3 linked regions of the Arabidopsis thaliana genome follow. The protein of the gene in region 1 interacts with the protein of each later gene in a pairwise test. Each region holds a gene or a part of one and is shown in the gene's direction. Other genes may lie near its edges.

The links.
Region 2: the proteins of RACK1B_AT (region 1) and AT5G48650 interact in a two-hybrid assay, tested with the Arabidopsis thaliana proteins (one large-scale study listed by BioGRID).
Region 3: the proteins of RACK1B_AT (region 1) and ftsh3 interact in a two-hybrid assay, tested with the Arabidopsis thaliana proteins (one large-scale study listed by BioGRID).

The regions. Positions count from the first base shown.
Region 1 is NC_003070.9:17,981,497-17,985,250, reverse strand, and holds RACK1B_AT (receptor for activated C kinase 1B), read left to right. Parts: upstream 1-1,873; 5' UTR 1,874-1,982; coding exon 1,983-2,861; intron 2,862-3,172; coding exon 3,173-3,274; 3' UTR 3,275-3,615; downstream 3,616-3,754. Other genes in the region: PEX3 (peroxin 3), read right to left, coding at 1-75, 141-177, 282-352, 460-590, 664-854, 945-1,106, 1,287-1,300.
Region 2 is NC_003076.8:19,724,864-19,728,617, forward strand, and holds the start of AT5G48650 (Nuclear transport factor 2 (NTF2) family protein with RNA binding (RRM-RBD-RNP motifs) domain-containing protein), read left to right. Parts: upstream 1-1,808; 5' UTR 1,809-1,989; intron 1,990-2,383; 5' UTR 2,384-2,415; coding exon 2,416-2,460; intron 2,461-2,579; coding exon 2,580-2,717; intron 2,718-2,904; coding exon 2,905-3,211; intron 3,212-3,282; coding exon 3,283-3,512; intron 3,513-3,621; coding exon 3,622-3,754. Other genes in the region: AT5G48640 (Cyclin family protein), read right to left, coding at 122-166, 334-373, 524-630, 747-778.
Region 3 is NC_003071.7:12,491,549-12,495,302, reverse strand, and holds the start of ftsh3 (FTSH protease 3), read left to right. Parts: upstream 1-1,973; 5' UTR 1,974-2,303; coding exon 2,304-2,354; intron 2,355-2,452; coding exon 2,453-2,675; intron 2,676-2,760; coding exon 2,761-2,826; intron 2,827-2,924; coding exon 2,925-3,058; intron 3,059-3,167; coding exon 3,168-3,647; intron 3,648-3,728; coding exon 3,729-3,754. Other genes in the region: CYP707A2 (cytochrome P450, family 707, subfamily A, polypeptide 2), read left to right, coding at 175-265. UniProt on the Arabidopsis thaliana protein: Probable ATP-dependent zinc metallopeptidase. Involved in the assembly and/or stability of the complexes I and V of the mitochondrial oxidative phosphorylation system.

The DNA.
Region 1 (3,754 bases):
TGCATTGGTGACAAGAAAATCAGCACTCGACAAAAACTTCTGTTCATCATCTCTATCAATGAGATCTACCTCTTCCTGCAAACAAAAAGAAACAAATTTAATAGATACACTGTTGAAAGCTCACAGGGCAAGCAGATCACAGGACAAGCGGCCGTGGCTTTAAAAGGTAATCTGGAACTATATCAAAGAAAGATAGGTGATTCCAGAGTATTAGTCCACAGATAGGTCAAATGCATAATCGTTATCGCAATTAAACACAGCTACTAGAGACATAATTATACAAGTTCTTAACAGAACAACCAGTGAGTTTCCCCGAGAAATAGCTTGTTGGGGATGAGATAAGCAAAGTACACTGAATCATACTTGCGAGCAAATGAGAGCAGTAAAGAACATGTGCAGTATCGTTTAATAAACAGCAAATTCTCCAATACAGAGAAGAGGGGAAGCATATTATCTTACAAGTAAATGAGAGCTGCCAAGAGCTCGAGCGGTGTCAACATACAAATGTCTGCCTAAAATGTTGACTTGAACCCTAATGTATAAGCTAAGCATTGTCACAGACCACAGAGACAAAACCATCCTCGTGAAACCTGGCAAATAACATGAATATACAGGTAAGAAACAGAATTTGATAGAGTAAGAGTAGGTGACTGCAGTGCATACTCAAAATCTTGAGCTCATCCCAGAGCTGAAGTTTCTCAGGTGGACTCAGCATTCCTTTCCCTTGGTTCAGTCTGTCCATAACATGAGAGACATCGATCTCCTCGCTGATACGGATACTCAAAAACTGCATTGCGTGAGGCAGTGTGGTCGAATCCACAATCATCTGAATACTCTCGAAATGTGCTTTCATTCTAAACAAGAGTACAAACAAGACAGGTCCGTTAGAGAATCCATAAGAACTGAAGTCTAAAGGATCAGTTTTTATGAGCACAGAACTTAACTGGGTTTTGATGATTTCGTCATTTTCACGCTCGTGAGCGAGTTCTCGTTCCAAATCAGCAAGCCTACGAGTATGGGAATTGTATAGTTTGTAGAGTAAATACCCACTTCCCAAACAACCAGCCGTCACCAAGACCTTCCTTCTATGCTTCCTCCAAAAACCCCTAATTTATTCCACAAGGTATTGAATCAATTAAAAACCCTAACTTTATTCACCAAAAACCCTTCCTAAGGAATTGGAATTAGTGTGCTAGAGAGAGAGAGATAGAGAACGCAAAACACTAAATTTCGAATTTTCACGAAAACAGTAAGCAATTACAAAGAAAGATGAAGCGAACAAGAACCTAACGAAATCCATGGCTGGTGAAGCTTTTACTGAAGTCGAACCCAGAGATACATAGCTGAGAAAACACGTAGAAAGATGAAGATTCCCGAATTGATTCGTTCGGTTTGAAAAGGAGATAACTTTGCAGGCGAGAGAAAGAGATGGTTGATGTGATCGATTTCAATTTAATCAATCACTTCATCTTTTTCTTCTCCGGAATTCGGACATGTAAAATTATATCTTCCACAGGGACAGTCGAAGTTGTGTTCTTAGTTCTTACAATAAAAGTTGAAATGGCCAAACTCGGTTTGTTTACTTTAATTGAACCGACTTTTGAGTCTATTTCAATTTTTGACAATAACTTCTCGGTAGAGTTCTCATGGGGTTTGCCCAAAAGAGAGAAAAAAAAGTTGTCATGTCATGTACTCATGTGGTTATCAAATTGACTTGTAACAAGCTATACCAATTCTGGTTAAGCGTTCCAAACAGAAAGATATAAATCTCGGTTCCATAATTGTCCCAACATGAAACCAAGTTGGGTAGAATACCGGGCCTTAATGCTGGCCCAAATGAAGAGACCCAAACTATTGACAAATGAAAACAAAGAACCCTAATTATCTCTAACTATAAATACTCTCGGTTTCTCGTTACCTCCATTTTGCCCTCTCCCATTTTTGTCGCCGAAACCCTAAATCTCGACCTCAAACCCTGAACCATGGCTGAAGGACTCGTGTTGAAAGGCACAATGTGTGCCCACACTGATATGGTCACCGCCATTGCTACACCGGTCGATAACTCCGACGTGATTGTAACTTCGTCGCGTGACAAATCAATCATCCTCTGGAAACTCACAAAGGAAGACAAGTCATACGGTGTTGCTCAGCGGAGGATGACTGGTCACTCTCACTTCGTTCAAGACGTTGTTCTCTCCTCCGATGGACAATTCGCTCTCTCCGGATCTTGGGACGGTGAGCTTCGTCTCTGGGATCTCGCTACCGGAGAATCTACTCGTCGTTTCGTTGGTCACACGAAAGATGTTCTCTCTGTTGCTTTCTCTACCGATAACCGTCAGATCGTCTCTGCTTCTCGTGATCGTACGATTAAGCTTTGGAACACGCTTGGTGAGTGTAAGTATACCATCTCTGAAGCTGATGGTCACAAGGAATGGGTTAGTTGTGTTAGGTTTAGTCCTAATACTCTTGTGCCAACTATTGTATCTGCTTCTTGGGATAAAACTGTGAAGGTCTGGAATCTTCAGAATTGTAAGCTTAGGAACACTCTTGCTGGTCACTCTGGTTACTTGAACACTGTGGCTGTGTCACCTGATGGTTCGTTGTGTGCCAGTGGTGGCAAAGATGGTGTGATCTTGCTTTGGGATTTGGCTGAAGGGAAGAAGTTGTATTCTCTTGAAGCTGGCTCTATTATTCATTCACTTTGCTTCAGTCCCAATAGGTACTGGTTGTGTGCAGCAACAGAGAATAGCATTAGGATTTGGGATCTCGAGAGTAAGTCTGTTGTTGAGGATTTGAAGGTTGATCTTAAGGCTGAGGCTGAAAAGACTGATGGTTCTACTGGAATCGGAAACAAGACCAAGGTATCTATTTCTCCTCACTCTATCTTATGGTTAATTGTCTAGTTCTAAGTTCTGTGAATTAGTTAGCCGTTGCCTTAAAAGATGAGATTTTCATAAAGGAAGGTCTGAATACTCTCATGTGAAGTTAGTTCACAAGATTTGATTGGTACGTAAGAGAGTAGCTAACATTAGATTGAGAAACCTGGTTTTAAGTTAGCTCTAGTCTCTGATTTCTTAGATTGTAGTGTCTGAAGTGATTCCATATTGATTTGTTGGTTACTCTTTGGTCTGAGGTGGTTTATATATGTTCTAATGTGGAATGTAAAATGCAGGTGATCTACTGCACAAGCTTGAACTGGAGTGCAGATGGAAACACTTTGTTCAGTGGATACACTGATGGAGTTATCAGGGTTTGGGGTATTGGTCGTTACTAGAGAGACAAGAAGTTTCTTTATTCTCTCCAAATTTTTCCATCGACTCTAAAGTCTTCTCTTCTGAATTAGTGTTTTGAGGATTTATTTTTTGTTCTTTTCTATTTTCAGAATCCACAAATGTGATATTTTGATACATTGATTTTGTTTCATATTTGTTTTCTTACACTGAGTCTGAGTACACGGCGTAGAATCTGATTTGAAGTTGTTACTTGTATCCTCTAGAAAGTAGAAATGGCTTTAGGTTGATGACTAACTGTATAACAGCAAGAATTTTTTCTTAGGAATCTGAAAACTTCAAGGAGTTATTAGCCTTTACTTTTCCAGTGGTTACATCTTAACTACAACACGAACCCTTTCAAAAGAATCTCTAAACACCAATGCACCAACCAGTTTATCTTTTTGTACTTAATGATATTTGGTTTTCCATCTCTTACTCTACCAAAACTAAGAGTAGTCTAAAGTGTAGGCGACAAGGCCATA
Region 2 (3,754 bases), on another chromosome or scaffold:
TTGATAGCAGAGATGCAACATAGAGAGACACTGGCATGACAAGAATTTAACTCATTTCATTCCTCACATACACAAAGATGCACATTGATGTATACGATCATATCAAAAATACATTGCATACCTGATATAAACCCGTCTCATATACGTAATTGCAGTAGCTACAACCCTACATAAGTAGAAAAACCAAGGCGACGATTCATATACAAGTCCAGGTTACACCAGATATTAGAGCTAGTTAAATCTACAGAAGCAAAACAAAGTAATGGAAGTACTGCAACAGTAGAATCTCTTTGATATAGCAAAAATTGGACCCCCAAATTGTAAAGAACCAACCTTTGCCTCACTTTAATGTGCTGAGCCAATTTCATAATATCTGAAAACAACAATAAATGAAGAAACAAAGAGACATAAACTCAAAAAACTTCTCTGATCAATCTCTAATCAAACCAGTGCAACAGAGACAACAAATTTGCTTAAGTAAGCAGGAGAATTCGAAGAATTAAGAAGAAAAAGGATTTCGTACGATTAGACATATGGAACTTGATGAGCTTAAAATCATCAATTGAGATTCCACGTTCTTTATCGAGATCATGAACTACGTCGACTTCTTCTGGATCCAAAAGCTGTTTACTGTTTCGTACAAACGCAAAAACAAAACAAAAAAATTCGAGAAATTGAAATTAGAAGTTGCTTAGAAGGAGAAGAAGAAGTGAATTTTGATGGGTAAAGTTTTAAAGAACATTTACTAGTGAGATGAATTCCAGAAATTGGCAGCCATTTTTTCCGGTAGACCGTCGAGTCTTTGGTAAGGAGGAGAAGCTTTTTTAGCTCATAAGTTCAACATTTTTCTGTTATCTGTCAAATCTCTTTGGTTGGTGGTCTCATGATCTATCATATCGTTGCTTTTTTCTGAAATTAAATTTAAGGCTCGGCCCATTATCGGCCCAATAGGCAAACAAATGAAAGTATTAACTCTGATATAACATGTTCGTTGTTTTTTGAATAACAGAACATATAGATGATAAAAATTGAAATCTTATAAATAGCTAAGAAGTGACCGAATATATCATTTCGACGAGGTATAATCAGTTTCAAAAGGATTAAATTTGAGTTTGGTTTTTTTCGTCATGATTAAGGCTATAAAAATTCTAGCTTTATATCATCAGCCACACCGAATATTTTTCTCTCACAAGTTTTTGTATCATGTATTGTTCAAACGCTTGATCAGTGATTTTCTTCTAACCATAAGTTTGGGTGTTCATAAAAGAATTTTCAGAAGAACACCACACATTTTTCGTTTGCCTAATATACATGTTCATTTGTTTTATTGAGCCCATACTCCTTTATCAAAACTAACTTTTTTTCTTTAAACATACTAAATTCAAACTAAACTTAGACTAATACATACTCAAATTAACACCCTACATGTTTCTCACGTTCAATATTTGGTACAAGCCAAATAGGTAAACTACAATCTAAAAACGCACGAGAAAAACCGCATGACAAAGGAATAAGCCAAATAAGTTGACTACAATCTAAAAAACGCACGAGAAGAGTATCGATTATCCCGTGTCTAAATTTAATTCCGGTTTTTCGCTATCAAAACAATTCAAGAGGAGTTATTATTCTCTAATTCACCTTATAGAATTCTTTGGGATTATGTGCTAACCCAAGTTAAAATCTAATGTACTCATTAATAAAAGGTAAGTAATATTAAAGTTAGTGGAGAATAAAATCTGTTGAAGAAAGGTGAGGAAGTGCAACGGACCATGTTTGACACGTGAGAGTCAAAAAGGCAATAAAAAAGTCGTCAACACACACACTCTCTCCCCGTCTATATAAACATCTTCTTCACAGTCCCCACAAAGTCCTCTTCCGTTGCCTTTTCGCTTTCTCCGTACACTTGGCCTTCCTTCTAGCGATCAAACCCTAGGTCCCGCCATTGTTGGTCCCAGACTTCAATCGAAGCTCCAATTTCACTAATTTCAGGTGAATCTTCTTCTACTATTTCTCTTCCGTCAGTTTAATGTCACGATTTCGCCGGAAAAATGTGATCTACACTGTTTCGGAGTGAAATGTGAAGTAGATTTCGTTGGTTTCTTAGCTAGTTTGTGCTTTTCTCGAAGTTGTTTCTGTGTTTATTTCATGAAACGATTTTGGGTTGCTTTTGTGAAGTTGATTTTGTTGTTGCCTCTTAGTTCGTTTTCTTGCTTGTTAAGTGTTTATCGAGTCACTATGTGTAGTTCATGAATTACGTTTTCTACGGAAACGATTTTGGAAAGTTGTGTGTGAGATTTAGAGATTTTCTGTTTTTTACATGATTCTTGGGTTGTTCTGTGATTTACATTGATTCTGAGTTTTGACAGTCTTCTATGAATTACAGGTGTTGTTTATTCTCTGGAAGTTGGCGATACAATGGATTCTACTGCTGCAACCAAACGTGTTGTTGACCCACTTACTGTATGTTTTTTCAATTATGGGGTTTCTTCTCCTTTTTACTAGTTGTAATTGTGATTCTTTGTGTGGTTTGTTCTGTTTTTGTTGTTGTTAAAGTGTATTTTTGGGTTTGGTTAATATAGGTTGGGAGTGCGTTTGTCAATCAGTACTACTACATTTTCTGTAACATGCCTGAGCATCTGCCCCGGTTTTATCAAGAGATCAGTAGAGTTGGCCGTGTTGGACAGGACGGAGTCATGCGTGATTTCTCCACTTTTCAAGTAAGTAGTTCTTAGTAGTTTAGTTGGGTTTGGTTGAATGAGGATGAGACTATATCATTTTTATGATGTTAAGGATTAGTAACTAACATGGGGTTGGGCTGGAGTGTCATTTGGTATGGTGGAAATTGGATGGCAGTTTAAGTAACTTGCTAAAAGTGTCTCTCATTGATGCTTATTCTTTGTGCAGGGTATAAGTGAGGAGCTTAAGAGACTGACTTATGGAGATTGCAACTCGGCTGAGATAACCAGTTATGATACTCAAGAGTCTCACAATGGGGGTTTCCTTCTCTTCGTTACTGGATACTTCACTCTAAACGAGAGATCGAGAAGGAAATTCACCCAAACTTTTTTCCTTGCCCCGCAAGAAAAGGGTTTCTTTGTTCTGAATGACATCCTCAGATTTGTTAATGATGATGCTAAGGATAATGTTCCAGAGACCATAGATGGGGAAGTTGTTTCTGGGATAAACTCTACAACACCCACTATTATCAATGGTAAGTTAAACTTATATTTCTTCTAACGCAAATTCTATTCCAATCCTTTTCTTACACTTTAGCTCCTACAGGCATGAAGGGTTCGGAGCAAGCTGCATGTGTTTCAGTGAATCCTGTTTGTAAGGAAGTGTCCAAACCCTTGGATAATGAGAATGCTAAGGATAATGTTCTGGTACCTGAGATTGCTAATGAAGTTGCAAGGACTGAGATAACTTGCAAAGAAGTTGCAGATGATTCACAGAAAAATTATGACCCTGATGATGGACTTGCAGATGCTCCCAAGAAATCCTATGCCTCTGTGGTAAGTAGTCACCCTAGAGGATTCATACTCGATCTTGTTACATCTTATTTTAGGCTTTACTATATCACTTCTTGAGTTTTCTATTGATAATCAATGACTATCATAACAGTTGAAGGTTACGAAAGATAAATTTGGAGTTCCAGCTGTCTCTTTACCTTCTCCAAAGAAGATACCTAAAGACCAAGAACATCAAGCGCCTTCAGATCCTTCTACAGGCCAGATACTCAAAGACCAAGGTCAAC
Region 3 (3,754 bases), on another chromosome or scaffold:
ATAATTTGTAGTACCCAAACATATGAATCGGCGACCTGTCAAATTAGTACTAGTCTATATATGGTCCAACACAAAAGATGTGAATCTCGTTTGATATCAATTTGTTTGCATATTTCAATCTTACTATTATTATTATTATGATAATATTGATGAAGTTTGGATTTTAATTTGCAGATGGGAAGTGATTGGAGATGAAGAAGGTATACAGTATGGTCCTTTCCCTGTACCCAAGAAGGGTTTACCAATAAGAGTAACCCCGATTTAAGCCTAAGGCATATTTGGGATTTTTTTTACTAGTCCAATAAGTCATCTTTAATTTCTCTTAGTAGAGATTTTTTTCTTCTTAAACTTTAAAATTGGCCTCCAATTTGGCCCCTTTTTCTTTTGTAATTTTTTTTTATCTTAATGTAAAGCTGCAATTTAATCAATCTCATTTTTATTGCTTTGGACTTATTGAAATATCTTTGAACTCTACATTTCCAACTAGCTGTTATTGCTATCATGTTGTGACAGTTGCGTTGAAATATTTGCGTTTGTGTTTGGATCCGAAGCAAACGCCAAATTTGGAATTTGATATTCTCTTTTAACCTCTTGGATCCTAAATGTTCGATTTATCCTTTTACATTTTCTCCGGCATCATTTTCTACAATGCAATAATTCCGGATATTTGTTTGAGATTCCGTTCAGACATATAATGAGCTGAGGTAGACGTAATTGTTTGTACGGAAGCAAAAACGTATTATAATTATTTACTTGTAAGTTTTTAGTTGGTAGTATTAGTAAGTTATACAGAGTTGTAAATAAACTAATAATTCGATTAGACCACCATTATCAATATTGTTGTATGTAACAAACACGGAAGTACATAAATCGTTGAGCCGTGGAAAGGAGACAAAACATATTTTTAGTCTCGTGATAAAACGAGTCGCCACGTGTCCACAGTCGGGTACGTGCATGAGATCTAACACACTTTATAACTAGCTTACGTGGGACTCTCGACTTCCATAAAAACGAAGAAGATTGAAATGAATCTAATTCATTGTCCCCGATTTGTCTCTGTCTAAAGTCAGAGAATCAGAGATTCGTTTCAGAGTAAAATGATTTTGCATTGGTCCACTTAAGAGTCTCTTAACCATTCCAAAGGTTTGGTGGACAAAACATGCTCCAACCCTTTCTTATCCAATTTGTCCCCTCTTGTCTCTCTTTAATTAAGCCCTACCCCAAAGTTTTTCACATGATTTGTTCTTGAAAGTGTCTCTCTCAATCTTTGTTGTTTATTATTATTATTTGATGTGAGGCGACTAGAACGTGTACAAAGAAAAGAGGGGAGATTGGGGATTAACACGATCGATATTCCTTTTGGATTAGATACGTGAAGTACCCGAAATGTATAAGTTTTAACATACACTAAATTAGTGTCAGTAATAATCGGCGTAAATGAGAGGAGTCTTTCAAAAACATACACTACATCTTATATGTCGATCAATAGACATAGTTCATACCCAAAAAAATATACAATACGATGGTATAAGGTGCCATGATTTCCAAATTGAGTTTTTGCTTGATATCAGTTCCTATACATTGTTTATGAGGAACAAGTTATGTATATATGTCTATAATTTTATCATATATATATATATATATATGATAAAATTAGTGATTATTTATTTGTTTCTCAATTATGATTTAAAGAGCCATAATTCTTCTTTAGCCAAAAAAAAAAAAAAAAAGATAGAACCATAATTCTTTCATTAACAACAATGCAGATAATTTCGTTGATGATGGTTAGTGTCCTTTTTAGTTAATATTGGTTCATTACTGAAAATAAAATAAACTGATATGCTACGGCTACCTCTTCACTTTTATTTTCAATTTATGACAAAAGCTATGCCCATATGTTCTCCAAGGCCCAATATATGTAAAATTAGGCCTATGAACCAAACACTGGTTTAATAAGACCGGTAAGCACAAGTTGGATTCGGACATTATTTAGAACAAAACCGGTTCAAGAGAATCTACAGAACACAACAAGTACAGAGTCTTTTTGTCTTTGACATTTCATAAACCTTCTCTTCTCTCGATAAACTTCAGATATTAAAAAACCCAAACTTTTATTTCCCCCAATCAAAAACCCTAATTTCTTCTTATCTTGTTTGGATTTTTCATTTCTTCTGTTTGATTTTATTCCACAAACACAATAAAAAAGTTTGCATTTTTTCCTCTTCTAAGCTCGTTTCAGATCTTCGATTTCACCATTTTTATAAACTATTATGCGAACTTAGTTTTGTTCTTTGTGATTTTGTATGACAATGATCTTCTTCTCTAAGCTTAATCGCTCCATTTCTCGTTCAAAGGTTAGTTGTTATTTTCATTTCATTGATTCCTTCTCAGATTCGTTCTCAATTTGTTTTTTTTTTTTGCTTACCTGATTTTTGTTTATATGTGAAATTAGGGATTTTTGTACGGTGGTGGTGTTAGATCGGCGGCAAGGCTACTTACTTCGCCGGGACTTGAGGCGGCGTCTGTGAATGAAGTGGAAGGTGGATTAGGGTTTATAAGAAGACACTTTGCTTCTTTAGCTTCACGGAAGGGTTTAGTCAATAATGATTTGATTGGTGTTTTTGCTAATCCAAGACTTCGTAGATTCTTCTCTGATGAAGCTCCTAAGAAGAAGAGTATGTTTGCAAAAATGTTAAACCATTTTTAATGAGTGTTGAGAATTGGTTATAAATTAGTGTTCTTGTTGTTGTCTTTGTGTAGATTATGAGAACTATTTTCCTAAAGATAAGCAAGAACCCAAGAGTGATCAGAAATCAGAGCATAAAGGTGAACAACATAGATTTTGAAGATACTTTTCTTATTATGAGACCTGTTGGTGCTACTGAAGGATTCTAATAATTGTATATGTTATTGTTGCAATACAGAGGGTTCAGAAAAGAATGAAAATGAGAATGTGGGAGATATGTTCATGAACCGATTCCAAAATTTGCTAATTCCTCTACTAGCTCTTGCTGTATTCTTTTCTACTTTCTCGTTTGGCTCTGGGGAACAACAACAGGCAAGCATATTTAAACTAAGCTTTGTGATATTCTTGGATATGGAACTGCAGATGTGGTTCTGCTCGTATAGTTTCCACTAATATCCTATGCTACCTTTTATTGTTTCAGATAAGTTTCCAGGAGTTCAAAAACAAGCTACTCGAGCCTGGTTTAGTTGACCACATAGATGTTTCAAACAAATCAGTAGCAAAAGTCTACGTGAGGAGCACACCGAAAGACCAACAAACAACTGACGTTGTCCATGGTAATGGTAACGGTATTCCTGCTAAAAGAACTGGTGGTCAGTATAAGTACTACTTCAATATCGGTAGTGTTGATTCTTTTGAGGAGAAACTCGAAGAAGCTCAAGAAGCGTTAGGTGTTGATCGTCATGAATATGTTCCTGTCACATACGTCTCTGAAATGGTCTGGTATCAAGAGTTCATGAGGTTTGCACCGACTTTGTTGCTCTTGGGTACTCTGATCTATGGTGCGAGACGGATGCAAGGTGGATTGGGTGTAGGAGGAACTGGCGGTAAGAATGGTCGTGGAATTTTCAATATAGGCAAAGCTACAATAACGAGAGCTGATAAACATTCCAAGAATAAGGTTAGAGACTTAGAGTTTTGCCTTTGTTTTTAATGATCCGTTTGGAATTTATAAACTTACTTTTGTTGTTTTCTTCGCCAGATTTATTTCAAGGATGTTGCTGGATG